Macaca mulatta: one gene and its partners. The protein of the gene in region 1 interacts with the protein of each later gene in a pairwise test. Links are inferred from orthologs where the notes say so. Each region holds a gene or a part of one and is shown on either strand. Other genes may lie near its edges.

What was found.
Region 2: the proteins of EVL (region 1) and TRIM9 interact in binary tests that used the Homo sapiens proteins (3 or more experiments, as listed by UniProt). The two-hybrid records come from large-scale screens. The link is inferred for Macaca mulatta from reciprocal best matches to the Homo sapiens genes EVL and TRIM9.
Region 3: the proteins of EVL (region 1) and SPTAN1 interact in binary tests that used the Homo sapiens proteins (3 or more experiments, as listed by UniProt). The link is inferred for Macaca mulatta from reciprocal best matches to the Homo sapiens genes EVL and SPTAN1.
Region 4: the proteins of EVL (region 1) and ABI3 interact in binary tests that used the Homo sapiens proteins (3 or more experiments, as listed by UniProt). The link is inferred for Macaca mulatta from reciprocal best matches to the Homo sapiens genes EVL and ABI3.

The regions. Positions count from the first base shown.
Region 1 is NC_133412.1:173,399,668-173,403,659, reverse strand, and holds the start of EVL (ena/VASP-like protein), read right to left. Parts: upstream 2,826-3,992; 5' UTR 2,738-2,825; coding exon of another isoform or gene 2,727-2,737; intron 1,927-2,726; 5' UTR 1,807-1,926; coding exon 1,748-1,806; exon of another isoform or gene 1,723-1,747; intron 1-1,722. UniProt on the Homo sapiens protein: Ena/VASP proteins are actin-associated proteins involved in a range of processes dependent on cytoskeleton remodeling and cell polarity such as axon guidance and lamellipodial and filopodial dynamics in migrating cells.
Region 2 is NC_133412.1:124,314,460-124,318,600, reverse strand, and holds the start of TRIM9 (E3 ubiquitin-protein ligase TRIM9), read left to right. Parts: upstream 1-1,329; 5' UTR 1,330-1,503; coding exon 1,504-2,325; intron 2,326-4,141. UniProt on the Homo sapiens protein: E3 ubiquitin-protein ligase which ubiquitinates itself in cooperation with an E2 enzyme UBE2D2/UBC4 and serves as a targeting signal for proteasomal degradation.
Region 3 is NC_133420.1:19,091,715-19,095,277, forward strand, and holds part of SPTAN1 (spectrin alpha chain, non-erythrocytic 1), read right to left. Parts: intron 2,387-3,563; coding exon 2,253-2,386; intron 2,081-2,252; coding exon 1,936-2,080; intron 1,858-1,935; coding exon 1,703-1,857; intron 1,098-1,702; coding exon 962-1,097; intron 1-961. UniProt on the Homo sapiens protein: Fodrin, which seems to be involved in secretion, interacts with calmodulin in a calcium-dependent manner and is thus candidate for the calcium-dependent movement of the cytoskeleton at the membrane.
Region 4 is NC_133421.1:60,787,946-60,791,508, forward strand, and holds part of ABI3 (ABI gene family member 3), read right to left. Parts: intron 2,794-3,563; coding exon of another isoform or gene 2,736-2,793; coding exon 2,516-2,735; intron 944-2,515; coding exon 835-943; intron 613-834; coding exon 517-612; intron 291-516; coding exon of another isoform or gene 288-290; coding exon 133-287; intron 1-132. UniProt on the Homo sapiens protein: May inhibit tumor metastasis. In vitro, reduces cell motility.

The DNA of each region.
Region 1 (3,992 bases):
TTTAAGGTCTTCCCTGACAGTCCCCAACTTCTCAACTCTTACTGCCCCTCCTGTTTATGCTTATTACTGTCTATGCTACAGGGTCCTTACAGCGAGTCGCCTCCTCATTTCTGTGAGTGCTGCCTTCCTCACTCCCGACCAGTCCCTGAAGACAGAGGCCGCTCCAACTCAGGCGTAAGAGCAAAAGGGCAAAGCATCTGTGGTCAGGAGGCACAGGTTCAAGTCCTGGGTCTATCACTCACTGGCTATGTCTCTTGTCAAGTTACTCTCTCCTTCTATGAAACAGAAACAATAAAAACAATGCTAGCTGGGTGTGGTGGCCCACACCTGTAGTCCCACTGAGGCAGGAGGCTTGCTCGAGCTTGGGAGTTTGAGGCCAGCCTGGGCAATATGGCAAGACCTCATCTCTAAAAAATACAAAAACAAAAACACCCCACAATGCTACCTTCAGGATTATTGCAGTAATTAAATAAAATAATGTCAGTGAAAGCATTCTGTACGTTGTCATGCACTCAAGAAAATTCCTAGCTCCTAATCCAGTTAGGGCTTGGAAAACGTTTCTTGATTGGTGAGTAGTCAGAGCTAGAGCTAGTAAGATATATTTGCACATTAAAAAGGCCCTTTGTATCCCCACCACAGGCGCCGTGGTATCCCCATATGTCAGTCAGCATGAGGAAAAACAAAAAGTTCACAGCTCCTATGGCTGCTGACCTTGCAGCTCCATGAACGCTGCTTCCACCAGGACTGTCACTACGGGGCCAGGCCAGGGACCTGTGGCAGAGTACAAGCAGCCTTGTACGGGGAAGGGATGCTCCAGAAAACCTGGGCTTTTGCTTTGGTTCAGCCACTACTCTGCTCCCCGTAGACAAACTCTGCTCCACACTGGGCCTCAATTTCCTGATCTGTGCACTCAGGAGCTGGACTAGATTAGTGTAATCTTCAGACTTGAAAATCATCACCACCACCAACAATATGACTTTTTTTCCCTCAATTAATTATCAAGGAATACATTAAAAAGACAAAAGTACTCAAGCCTGTAATCCCAGCACTTTGGGAGGCCGAGACGGGCAGATCACGAGGGCAGGAGATCGAGACCATCCTGGCTACCACGGTGAAACCCCGTCTCTACTAAAAAATGCAAAAAACTAGCTGGGCGAGGCGGCGGGCGCCTGTAGTCCCAGCTACTCGGGAGGCTGAGGCCGGAGAATGGTGTGAACCCGGGAGGCGGAGCTTGCAGTGAGCTGAGATCCGGCCACTGCACTCCAGCCTGGGTGACAGAGTGAGACTCCATCTCAAAAAAAAAAAAAAAAAAAAGACAAAAGTAGAGTTATTTTGGCTGAAGTAGAGGATAAGATGCCCAAAGCACCACTAACCTAGGTAAACTACTGTAGATCATCTCCAAGGTCTTTTCAAGATGGAAACTTCTAGATTTCTACGATTTTAAAACTGAAAAAGAGATTGATGTGCCTCCTCCCCATTTACTTCTGATATAATTTTCTGCAATTAGTAATTGGCAGGGTAGAATAAGCTGCTGGAATTTTTCACAATGTAATTTACAACTAAAAATGACTTTGGAAGTTGATATGCCTTTGAAATGAAAAGTATTCTGTTTTCAGAAGTTCCATTCACAAGTCCTCTAAAGTTAAAAGAAAGTTACTAAAATGATAGGAGCAGAAATAAAGCCCACTGGAAAATAAGCAGCCCTGGACAAGTTCTACCTACCACCATGTCAATTTTAACAACTCACTGCAAACTGCTTCTCAAGAGCCTGTGTAGCGTGCTGCGAAAACCACCGGACGAGGCCATCCTTGTTAAACCCTGGTTCCATTCCTTCCTCCACCTGCCATGTGACCTCGGACAAGCCCCACAACTTTTCAGAGGTTTTCTCAGCTATGAAACAGGAGTGATGACGGCGTTCTCATCGATCTAACACGATTAAAAGATTCAAATAAGAAAACTGGTGAAATGGCACTTTGAAAATTGTGAAATAATTTTCAAAGTGAGGGACCATTACTTTATGCTAAAAAACAAAGCTGTCATGAGTCAACCAAACAAATGCCCCAAACCCCACAGGTTAAAAGTCTGTCTGTCCTATCATCTATAATCTTTCAGAGTTGTATGGCAGGGGAGAGGCAGGTCCAACATGTAATCTCCCCTTTAGAAAGAACAATCTCAATGAGGAGTGCAGTTTGTAGACTGGCTGGCACTCACACATGTGCTAAACAGCAACAGCCTAAGGTCACAAGTCTCACAAGTGGAGGGTCAGGATTCTTGCTATTAAGTTCATGAAGTTCCTATAATAAAAATAACTCTCTCTGTCTATATTTAGATAAAACAACCAGTCTCAGGTCATTCTAGAGAGAAGAGCCAGGACTCATCAAAATGTACCTCTGAGCTAAACAACAATCCCCTAGATGGCTCAGACCCTCCTCCCTATAATCTGAGGTAGGGGCTAATTTCTGAGTAAATCCTTCATCCAGAAGCCATTAAGGGTCACAGGCATCAAGAGACACAGGCCTGTGTAATGGAAAGACCAGCGGCTGGAGAGTGAGCAGATTGTCACCAACGTGCTGTGTAACCTCATGTAAGTCCCCTGCCCTCTGGTCATGGATTTCTTGATCAGTATACTGAGGGGTCATGAGATGATTTCCACAGCCCATTCACCAGTAAGATTCTAGGTTTCCTCTTGACATCCCTCTGTTCCCTGTATTGGTTTCAGTACTCACCTTGTGGCCATGGCTGAAAAGTGGCAGCACAGGGAACCCTGAGGAGGTGAGTCCGGTACTCCCACTGGGCTATGCTGATCAGAGGACCACAGACTCTCTGAAGACAGCAACTTGATTTTTATAGACTACTTAAAACCAAACAGGAAAAGGAAGCTGAACCAGAGACAAAGGGGAAACAAACCCAAGTGAAAAACTGAAACCTAGGTAGAAAATAGAGAAACAAGAAGCTAGCAGTGCAGAGCCCTACCAGCGTGGGTGGCTGAGAGGCACTTCACAGGCCTGACACCTCCACGGCTGGCAACCTCAAGCCTCTAAGCACTTCCTGCAAGGGTGCAAGGGTGGGTGATGCCTGCTGGAGGTAGGGGCCAGGTCGTGGTGCTGGCCCCCGACGAACTAGCTCTATAGTCTGTCTAAGTCAATGCCATTTAAGAGGTCTGGGCCTCGGTTTTCCATCTGTTATAGAAAGTGCAGGCTCAGCACAGACGACTTCCTATAGGCCTTAAGAAAAGGCTACAAGAACTCGCAAGAGTCCCCGCTGACTCTCCAGAGAATAGAAGACTAGATGATAAAGACTATAAGCTGATCTTTTTTTTTTGAGACAGAATTTCACTCCCATCGCCCAGGCTGGAGTGCAATGGCACGATCTTGGCTCACCGCAACCACCGCCTCCAAGGTTCAAGCGATTCTCCTGCCTCAGCCTCCTGAGTAGCTGGGATTATAGGCATGTGCCACCATGCCCAGGTAATTTTGTGTTTTTAGTAGAGACAGGGTTTCTCCATGTTGGTCAGGCTGGTCTCAAACTCCCGACCTCAGGTGATCCGCCTGCCTCGGCTTCCCAAAGTGCTGGGATTACAGGCATGAGCCACCATGCCAGGCCGCCGATCAAGTCTTAATATTTGACTCTGGAACAAAATTTGTACTTCTACCGAGCAGACAGCTCTCTCTAATGAGGACATTTAAGTCAGCAATTTAGAGCCTGAAAGGAAAACATTTGAGGAACACTGAGAACTTGGCTTTGTCACTTGTTCATTAAATGGGTGGCCTCAACTGTAAAATGGGGTTAGTTATACTTACTTTGCCTATCTCCAACAGGGTTCTCATGAAGATAAAATCCAGTTCAATCTTTCTTTCAAAATCTACTGAGAACTCACTAAGAAGCATGCACTGTGTTAGAAATCACAGACAAAAAATTCAGAACGACCGTACTGGTCCTTAAAGGACTTTTATGGCTTAGGAAAGAAGAATTCTGCCCTCTGGTCATGGATT
Region 2 (4,141 bases), about 49 Mb from region 1:
AACTTGCAAAGAGTTTTTGTCCTTTACTTCATGAATCACTCAGCAAAAGCCAGCTATGTACTATTTCAAATGTTACTACCTCAGAATGTCACTTGACTCAAAGATTTTCCTTTCCTTTTCTTCTTCCTCCCTCCCTTTCTTCCCTTCCTTCCGCCTTTCCTTTTTCCCCTCTCTTCCTTCCTCCCTCCCTCCCTCCTTTTACAGGGACTAACACTAGAACCACCGCCTCACCACGCCCCTCATTGGAGGAAACAGAAAGGCACACCATGCTGTAAGCTATGGCAGATGCTCAGGGCACGTGGGGTTGAATAATGCTGTTTGGAGTCAAACACTGAGACTCCGCAGCCACACAGTGATTCATTTACAGAGCTTTACTAAACTACGGGCACTCAGAAATAGACAAACTATTCTTGCCTCAATAAAACCAAAGGCCTTGCGGGCCTCGTGAAAGCTCAAGCCAGGTGCTTTGGGAGGCCGGGAGGAGGAAGAGAGATCCGTGGAAGGAAGCACGTTCACACCATGTCACTGAGGCCTCCGGGCCGAGGTATAATTTAAAGCATGAAACGAAGGGGTCATAGATTCTGACTAATGCTGACCATTTCCATCGGTTACCCAGCTGAATCTTATGGCGACACTAGGAAATCGACTTTATACATGCTCTTTAGGAAACGAGGGACGCAGGATGAAAGAAGTCAAGAGTGTCGCCAGGGCTTGCACCAGCGCCGTCAGACTCCCGCGATGGGGGAGCTCCAGGGCACGGAGTCAGCGGATTTACTGAGACGGAGAAAAGCCCCACTGCCGTGCAGAAGCCTAGGCCCGGGTGAGGCGCCTGCGAAGGCTGCCAACAGCGGAAGAGAAGGGGCGTCCTCCGTGTTGCGCAGCATGCGCCCGCGGTAGGTGGGCGCGGAGCTCAGAGCTGGGAGCCAAACGCAAACGCTGGCGAGAAGCCCCAGCCCCCTCCGCCAGCCCACTCGCTGCGGGGAGGGGTTTCTCACGCCCTCAGCTCCTGGGAGACTGCACCGGAGGTCGGAAGGAAGCGGAGCGAGGATGAGTCATCCCGCCTAATTCCTCCTTCCCGGTCCCCCTAGCCTCCGCACGCCGGCCCCCTCCAGAGATCATGCAACCGCGAGCGAAGACTCCCCTATATTCAGACTCTACCGAACCCCCTGCGGCCTGCGGAGACGAGGAGACGGACGGGTCTCGTGGCCAATGAGAGCTTCGATCTCGTGCCCGCCGCCCAATGGGCCGCGGCTCATGGGCCGGGGCGGGACTAGGAGGGCAGGAGGGGGCGGTCCGGGCTGGCGCGCGGCGCGGCGGCTCCGCTGCAGCGACTCACAGAGCTAGCGCCTCTCCGGGTGTCCTCGCCAGCACTGCGCGGGAAGGCGCCACCACCACCGCCGCCGCCGCCGCTGGCCAGGGTGCTGGACAAGACGGGCCCGTCGACCACCTAGCCAGCTCAGGCACCCGCTGCAGCTGTCGCTGCCTCCTCCCAGACCGGTCCCCATGGAGGAGATGGAAGAGGAGTTGAAATGCCCGGTGTGCGGCTCCTTCTATCGGGAGCCCATCATCCTGCCCTGCTCTCACAATTTGTGCCAGGCGTGCGCCCGCAACATCCTGGTGCAGACCCCGGAGTCTGAGTCCCCCCAGAGTCGTCGGGCCTCGGGCTCCGGGGTCTCCGACTATGACTATCTCGACCTGGACAAGATGAGCCTATACAGCGAGGCGGACAGCGGCTATGGCTCCTACGGGGGTTTCGCCAGCGCCCCCACTACCCCGTGCCAGAAGTCCCCCAACGGCGTCCGCGTGTTTCCCCCGGCTATGCCGCCACCGGCCACCCACCTGTCACCGGCACTGGCCCCGGTGCCCCGCAACTCCTGTATCACCTGCCCCCAGTGTCACCGCAGCCTCATCCTGGATGACCGGGGGCTCCGCGGCTTCCCCAAGAATCGCGTACTGGAAGGGGTAATTGACCGCTACCAGCAGAGCAAAGCTGCGGCCCTCAAGTGCCAGCTCTGTGAGAAGGCGCCCAAGGAGGCCACCGTCATGTGCGAACAGTGCGATGTCTTCTACTGCGATCCGTGCCGCCTGCGCTGCCACCCGCCCCGGGGGCCCCTAGCCAAGCACCGCCTGGTGCCCCCGGCCCAGGGTCGTGTGAGCCGGAGGCTGAGCCCGCGCAAGGTCTCCACCTGCACAGACCACGAGCTGGAGAACCACAGCATGTACTGCGTGCAGTGCAAGATGCCCGTGTGCTACCAGTGCTTGGAGGAGGGCAAACACTCCAGCCACGAAGTCAAGGCTCTGGGGGCCATGTGGAAACTACATAAGGTGAGTCCTGAGAAAAACCCACTCCTAACTCGCTGCGTCTTCCATCATCCGGTTTTGCAGCAGACGGTCCCCGTCTCTTGCGCACAGCGCATCCCAGTGGGGGCGCAATGCAGGTGCCTTCGATGTTTACCTCCCCGGTCTGGTGCATTGCAGGAGGCACGGGGGAATCTTAACCGGCGCACGGGGGACTTGAATGCCCCCACAGAGTTGTTGCGGGGATGTCTTAGAGCGGGTCTCTCGGGGCGCGCTGCCTGCGAGCGGGACGCAGGACGCCCCCTCTCCACGGCTGGTCTGTAGCCAGTGGCCGCGGCCAGTGTGTTGGAAAGCACTGCGTAGCTGGGTAGAGCCGCGCCAGTGCCCGGGGCCGCTAGGCACGCTCGAGGGCAGGGCGGGCTGCGAACCCCCGGGGAGGGACTGGAGTGGGGGCGGTGAGGTCGCGCGGACGGCGGGAGTCTGTCGCTGCTGGATAGGCAGACCTGGTGAGGCACGGCGGAGGGTAGGGGAGACGCCGCGGGCGGAATACTAATGAGCCCGGCTGTGGGCCAGACCTGGCTCTGGAGCTGGAGAGAACGCGGGGTCCTGGTGCCACGTGCTCAAAAGACAGACTGGAGAGGGCAGCCAGCGGTCGCCATGGCAACGCGACGTGCAGACTTGGTCCGGAACCCTTCTGGAGTTGGGACCTGGGACTAGAGTGTAAGGACCGGAATTTGCGAAGTCGCGGCCTGGAAGCCAAGGTGCATCTCCTAGGGAAACCTCCTCCTCCCAACTACACACACACCCACTTCTCCAGAATTCAACCTCTTTCCTCTCAGTAGTTATATGTGCAAATATGTGCAAACTTTGGGACACCTGTTACCAGATTTATCTTTCCAGTCTCTTTTAATGATATTTCCACATGGCTAGACACTAAGAGGCTTTAGCAACATGTTAGGTCGTGCCACTCCTCTGCTCAAAACTCTCCAATTGTTCCTATGCTTCTCAGCCTGTCCTTGGAATGGTCTATGAGGCCCTACATGACCTCTTTTCCATTTTGGCCCCCTCGACCTCATTGCCTCCCACTTACTCCCTCTGCTGTAGCCACACTGCTTCTTGCTGTTCCTCAAGTGACACCAGGCACCTCCCCACCCCAGGGCCCTTGCATTTAGTGTTCATTCAGCCTGAAGCTCTCTTCCCCAGTTACCTGACATCCGAATGAGTCACTTACTTGCATCCTTCAGCTCTTTGCTCAGGTATCATCTTTACAGCACCACCTACCCAGACACCCACTAGTTCCCTCTCAGCTTTGGTTTCCTCAGTAGTATTTATCCTTGTGTGGCATGCTATATATTTTAATTATGTTATTTTTGTATTTATCTATTGCTCCCTGTACACACACAGGCATAAACGAAATAAGCCTCATGAGGAAGATTCTTATAATATGCCCACACTGCTTAGAAGGAAGGGAACCACTCTTGAAGAGATGTGTATGAATTTGCTTTTCATTTTTTTAGATGACCCATTTAGTTGGAGCTGTGGAGTGCAGGGCAGGGATTCAGGATGATTGGAAGGAGCTTTTCTTTACATCACTGAGTTGCATACCCAAGGATGAGATAGAGTAGTGAAGATGGTGCCCAGGCCTCATCTGTGGCCTCACTCAGTCTCCCAGAATACCTTGGAGACTAGAAAGGGTAGCTTTTGCAAGTTGCCAACCCTGGAGTTAAGGCTGAAACATTGATATTTTGTTTACAGCAAGGAAAAAAGTCATTAATTTTCAGCAATCAGTGAAAGTTTTCTCAACTCCTTAACCCAGTTGAATGTGATCCATGTTTACAGTCAT
Region 3 (3,563 bases), on another chromosome or scaffold:
ATCTCATTGCAAAAAGAAACACACACATACACATATACCTGCTGAGCACTTGACTAGAACTGAATTAACTGTATATATCCTGGTGGGAATTTATACCTTCACAAAAGATCGTTCTATCTGTGCACTAGATAAATAATTCTCTCTATTCAGTTTTTATTTAATGCCTTTTAACAAAGTTTTATAGTTTTTTCCACAAATGTCTTACACACTTTTGTTAGATTTATTCCTAAGTACTTTATATTTTCTGCTCTAATAAGTAGTATTTTTAAAAATTACGTTTCTGTTGCTAGTGTAGAGAAACGTTTGACTTTCAGTATATTGATTTTGTATCTAGCACATTAAAACCTCTCAGTTTTTTTTTTTTTTTTTTTTGAGAGACGGAGTTTCACTCTTGTTGTCCAGGCAGTAGTAGAATAGTGCGATCATGGCTCACTGCAACCTCTGCCTCCCGGGTTCAAGCGATTCCCCTGCCTCAGACTCCTGAGTAACTGGGACTACAGGCATGTGCCACCAAGGCCAGCTAATTTTTGTACTTTTAGTAGAGACAGGGTTTCATCATGTTGGCAAGGATGGTCTTGATCTCTTGACTTTGTGATCCACCTGCCTTGGCCTTCCAAAGTGCTGGGATCATAGGCATAAGCCACTGTGCTCAGCCCAACAAATACTTTTTACATCACAAAGGATCAACGTGCCAAGTAGCAGCACTTCTATCTCGCCAGAGCTTGTCTGCTGTTTGCTTTTATGGACCACAGTGAACTTCTTCACACTGAACTGAGTTAAGCCTCTATCAGAAGCAGGTAGACCAGGTCTCCAAAGGCAAAACCAACCACAATCCTTATGATGAGAGACACCTGTGAATAACGTGGTACCAACTCCAACTACAGGCCTCACCCAACATTGATATACTGTTGCATTATAAGCTAAAATCTTCACTTCTGGAAGATGCTGGAGATACTATTACCTTGTGCTCTTGGTGTCTATCTAGCAGGGCTTCAGCCCCAGCCACATCATTGGCAAGCTCATCTGCATTGATGAGGGCTTTCATCTCAGTCACCCAGCTGGTGAGGTCACGGAAGTCAGCAAGGAAGCGTTGAAGCCTAGGAAAAGCCAAAGGAAGACATTATGTTTCCAGCAGAGGTTCCAGGGTGGAAAATGGCCTCCCTAAAGCTCCGAATTCTATGTTCTCAAATGTCTAACAAATTATACAAACTCTAGTTCTGGGAAATATGAAATTCTACCAATCTAGACTGTGAAGGAAAGCAAGAGAAGGCTGAAATCAACGCTTTAAAACTTAGGTTCTGTCCATCACTATAAAGCCCCAATCCTGTCCCACATTTCCAACTTCCTTGTTATTCCCAGGTTCAACCCTTGGCTAGTAAGAAGCATTCTTTTCCTTTCCAATCTGGTTGTAATAAGGTATTTAATGTGATACTCAGATACTTAAGGGGATATTTCCATTCTATCAGTCATAATGCAGTGATGCAGAATAGAAGAATTTATGAAGTTGTAAATAGCATACACATACTACACATGATACAGTTGCCAGTCTCCAAACAGAGAGAACATAGGTAAGAAGTGATTTGCATTGGTAGGTGATACCTGACACTTCCACAGAACACAGAACAGACCCTTAACTCTGCTATTCCTGCTTCCTAAAAAGAAGTTAAATGATACTGGTTAAGACCTGGAGCATTATTTGCACCTGTATGAATCATTGAGCCGTGCATGTCTCTCTGCCGCCAAGGTGCGGATCTGCTCCCAGTTTGTAATCAGTTCCTCTCGCTTCACTTGAATCTGTGTTGCACTCAGAGGGTGGGACTGTTGCAGGCGGTCAGCCTCAGCACACAGGGCTTTGACCTAGAAATGAACTCCGTCAGAACTATTCTCCTGACCCTTGGTAACTTATTTACAGAATCAGCTGCTTGTAAAACCCACCTTGTCTTCTAGAGCAGCAAGATCTCTCTCTAGACCCTCGTGCTTCCGAAGCAGAGCCTGAACACTTGCCAGGTCTCGGCCAAAATCATCAGAGGCCATTAACTGCTCCTTTTCCTTAATCCAACTGATAGTCTCATCCACATCCCTACAGAACAAAGGCACCAGTTAATCCACAGCAATGACATCTCCCTAGAACTAGGAACACTCCATGGGACCAAGGCCCAGTCAGCCCTGACAGCTCACCAGCACATGCCCTGTGCTTCACAACTCCCCTCCAGGTTGAGGCCCATTCCCCAAAGCCCACTCTGGCTTGACACCTGTTAAAGCGCTGAACTTCAGCTGCCCCAAAGAGCTTCCCCTGCCTCTGCAGAGCCAAGCCCTTCAGCCGCTGCCAGGCTGCATTGACTTCATCCTGCTTAGTCTTGATCAGTTCCTCCTCAGGGTGCTGCTCCTAAACAAGGAAGAGAAGAGACTGGATTTGTACACAACTTCTGGCTTCTCCAACTAGTTACCCTGGGGTTGGTTCCTTGACGTATCTTAGCAAATCACCACTCTGATGTTAATAAATAGTTTGGCTGTAACTTTGTGGTAGCTTTATCCATGTACTCATCTACCCTAACTGCTTGAAAATTTGGTATTTCAGATGTTCATGAGGCTGTTAAGCATTCTTGTACATAAACATAATTTTCAGGGCTTAAGAGTTTGTTCCTGGCTTTAGACTGAAGACATTTCTTTTTTTCTTTTTTGAGACAGGGTCTTGCTATGTTACCCAGGCTGGTCTCAAGTGATCCCGTCTTGTCAGCCTGGGTCTGGGTAGAGTAGCTGGGTCTACAGGCAGATGCCACTGCATCCAGCTTAGAGACATTTCTTTAAAAGTATCCTTCCCTACCAACCACATTTTGGTGTTTTTAAAAATACGATATAAAGTAATAAAGTGAAGCATTCAGGGTTCTTGTGTTTTTTTTTTTTTTTTGAGACGGAGTCTCGCTCTGTCGCCCAGGCTGGAGTGCGGTGGTGCAATCTCCACTCACTGCAAGCTCCGCCTCCTGGGTTCACGCCATTCTCCTGCCTCAGCCTCCCGTGTGGCTGGGACTACAGGCGCCTGTCACCGTGCCCGGCTAATTTTTGTATTTTTAGTAGAGACGGGGTTTCACCGTGTTAGCCAGGATGGTCTCGATCTCCTGACCTCATGATCCGCCCATCTCGGCCTCCCAAAGTGCTGGGATTACAGGCGTGAGCCACCGCGCCCGGCCGCATTCAGGGTTCTTGAATCCATTTGGGATACCATGGGTTTGGCCTGACTACTCTTCTCAAGCTCAACCGTAGGAAAGCCTAGGGTTTGGAAAGGTAACACATCTGTCACTGTGGAAGGGTGAGATATTTCTGAGGAATGCCGGGTATTCTTTCTCTTAATCATAGACCAGAAAAAGGAAACAAGTACCAGCCTGTAAGCAGATGTATACATTTAAAATTTGTACCCCCCCAAATCAAATTTCCCTAAAAGTAAAAACTCTCGGGTTGTGAGTACTTGATGTCCGTGGAACCCTTTGGACTCAGAGTGGAAGCAGCTTACAGGATTGTACACGTGGGCACTGGGGAAGGGTTATCATTCCCTCTTCACAGGCTCC
Region 4 (3,563 bases), on another chromosome or scaffold:
CGTGCTGCGCTCCATGGAGGAGGCATTCACTGAGGCTGGCTGGGGCAGATCCAAGAGAGGTGGGCTGGGGAATGGCAGGAGGCGGAAAAGCGACCCCACGGTTGGGAAGAAGAAGGGGGCGGAGCTCCTTACCCGGTGGGGGTGGGGACAACTCCTCTAGCGGGGGAGGCCGCTGGAACACCTCGACGGCTGCTGGTGGAGGAGGTGGGTCCAAGGAGTTGGGGAGAGGTGGGGCTGGAGGTGCTGCCTGCCCCTTGGGCATGGAGGCCCCACCGACACCTTCGGCGCTGCTGAACACCAGAGAAAGCGGGGCTCGGCCCGGTTGGCGACACGCCTTCCCTAATGCAGCATCCCCAGCTGGCCCCACCCCTCCAATCCTGAACCCAGCCCTGCACGTGTGACCCAGGACTAACTGGGTCCTTTCAAGCCCAGGAGTCACTATGACCATTGGCAGGAGGCCCCTCTCGAAAGCCACCTCCCACCCCTCACCCTCCCACGCAGGCTTGTAGGTCTCACCCTGCCGAGGCCAGGGAAGAGGCGGAGGAGGCGGCGGAGAGTCTGCCGTCGGGTACCACCGGGAGGTGCACTGGCTCGGGAATCCGGGGTGGTCTCCTGGCGGGGGTCGGGGAGTGGGTATTAGGAGGAAGGAGGAAGGCTTCTGGCCAGCAGGGGTCGGGTGTGAGCAGGAAAGGCATGTGGCCGAGGGGGAGGTTTGGCGCCAGGCATCCAGCATGACGGCCTGAGCACCCAGGCGCCAGGGGTGGGTGGCGAGGCTGGGGGAGGAGAGTTTCAGGGTCGCGCGGGGTAGGGCTAGGCTAGTTGGCGAGGCCTCACCCCAATGTGGCGGAGGCGGGTGTGGCAGGGGCCTTGATGCTCTTTCGAGACAGGGTGCCTGTCCTTGACAGCTGCGTGCTGAGGTCCTGCGAGGGAGCGGGAGGTAGGGCTGACATTTGGGGTGAGAGGCCGCTCCCCACCCTCATCCCCAAGAGGAAATGGAGGAGGGGCGGACGAGAACCGGGAGGGAGAGCCCAGCATGGCCAGTTCCCACTTCCACTTCTCAGGGCCCTCTCCTACACTTCCCCCAAGCTACCCCCTTGTCATTGCCTGGGTTCTGGGACTCAATTCTACCAAAGCCGACAGCCACTTCCTCTGCACAGCCACAGCGGATTGAGTGGGCCCGGCACCCCTGTCCCTCCTCCAAACCATCTCAGAGCCCAGGAAGCTGAGGCCCTGGCTTAGTAGTCCCTAACTTTGATTGGGCTGAGGAGGCGGTGGGGAAAGGAGAGGACACATCACACTTAGAAGTGTCCCACCTGTCATTTTCGAAGATTTGTGGAATTGGCTTTGGGGAGTTAGGGCAGAGAGGAGCAGGACCCAGGCCACTTAGAGGGGATGTGCAAATGACAGGGCGCACACCCACATGAAAGAGGGAACTTCTGTTACCAATGGGACTTCCCCAAGGGGTGGGTACAGTGTTACCTCATAGGCTTCACCAGGGGCAAGACGAAAGGGATTTGAGCTGAAGCACAAAGAATATAAGTTGGGCTGGGAGCGGTGGTTCACGCCTGTAATCCCAGCACTTTGGGTGGCTGAGGCAAGCAGATCACCTGAGTTCAGGAGTTCAAAACCAGCCTGGCCAACATGGAGAAACTCCATCTCTACTAAAAATACAAAAAAAAAAAAAAAAAAAAAAATTAGCCAGGCATGGTGGCAGGCACCTGTAATCCCAGCTACTCGGGTGGCTGAGGCAGGAGAATCACTTGAACCCAGGAGGTGGAGGTTGCAGTGAGCCAAGATCACGCCATTGCAATCCAACCTGGACAACAAGAGTGAAACTCCATCTCAAAAAAAAAAAAAAAAGAATATAAGTTGGACAACAGAGACCTTACTGGTGGGGAGGAGGCCTGGTGGTTGAAGGGGAGAGTGTGGTTTCCCCTTTAAGGGTGGCTGATAAGTTCAGGATATCAAGGGGTTCATTTCAATACAGAAATGTCAAGGTGTGGAGACAGGAATTGAAGACGGGACGGGTGTGAGTGCGTGCCCTCTCCGACCTCGCAGAAGGACGTGGGCTGAGAAGACGCCAGCGCCATGCTCCCCTCTCTTCACCAAGTCCCCTTTGTGTGGCTGCATCCCCGCTTCTTCTCACCAAAGCAGCTGTGGGGTGACTGCTCAGTGCAGTGACCTCAAACCCCCAGACAGAGGAAGTTGCTGTTCTCATGTGGCTGGGAGCCATTCTCATGCACACCCTGACATCCTCCCTTCCCCCTCTTCCCCTTCCCACATGCCCGGTGGCACAGGGGCAGGGCGGGGGGGCGAGGGGTGCTCAGGATCTCACACTCAGCAGATCCTCTGAGGACGGTACAGACCAGTTTTGGAGGGAGGGATTACAAAATCTAGGGAGAGGGAGAAGAGCTCAGAGTGGTGGCTTCAGGGAGTGGGGAAAGAAAGCAGTGGCAAGTTGGGACAAAATGTGCAGGAGAACTGGGGGTCTGGAGGGAAAAGGGCCACAAGGCACGAGAGGGTGGGTTGGAGGGAAAGAAGAGGGTCCCTCTCTCTACCTTGATCCCATGGCCAATGTCGTCCAGGCAGCCAAAGTTGAGGGGTCTCCTGCAGTAGGGCGTGAGAGGGGGTAGGCTCTCTGGGGCGATGACCTTCTGGCCTGGGGGCAGCCGCTGGACAGTGGCTAAGGTGCCGATCTCCCTTCGGGCCACCTTCTCCATGTGCATGTTCACCATCTGCATGACAGGGTTCAAGGTGACAGAGAGGGGTGGTCTGTGTCCAATGCCCTTCCCCCTAAGGAGGAAGAAGATAGAGACTTTGGGCTGGGGGTAGGGACCATGGGAGGCAACGAGGTCTAGAAAAAGAGGGCCCTTCCCCTCCCCCCGCTCCCCCACCAGGCTACATAGCAATTGGGAAAAGTGGCAGGAAAGGATGAAGCCACTTTGGAGCCACTTCCTGGTGGAAAGAGTAAGGGTTATTATTAGCTGAGCAGGAACAGGAGGAAAAGAGAAAACACAACATCCCTGGGGATGCCGGGAAGAGACAAGCACTGGGCTGGCTTGGGAGCAGAGGGGGAAAATATGGAGGTGGCAGAGAATGGTGGCTTGACCAGCTTTGGGGGACAAATAAGTGAACTGACTTCCTCTCAGAATGTTCCATGGAGAAAGCCTACAGTTCGAAAGGGTGGGAACTCTGGTCTGCGGGGGGAGAGGAAAAGGCACACCCCACCCACTGAACATGTGGGTGATGCACAGGCCAGGCTGAATGTGTGGCTGGGTCTGTGCATGTGCTTTATGGGGCAATTCCTCGGTCAAGGATCCAGGAAGGAAGGAGGGTGTGTGCGCTAGAACACTGTGGCAGGGTGGAGGGTGTATACTGTATGGTGCTGGCAGTGCTTCCAGGGCTGAAGATGACCTTGTCAAGCTAGCACCCTGGGTCTAGGATATTTATTAAGGCACTGCTTGTATTTAGATGCAAACAGGGTTCATTTGCTTCTTTCCTGTATATGCCGCTGCTCTGATTGGTAGATATTACTTTCTAATGTCCAGGATAGAATTCCAAGA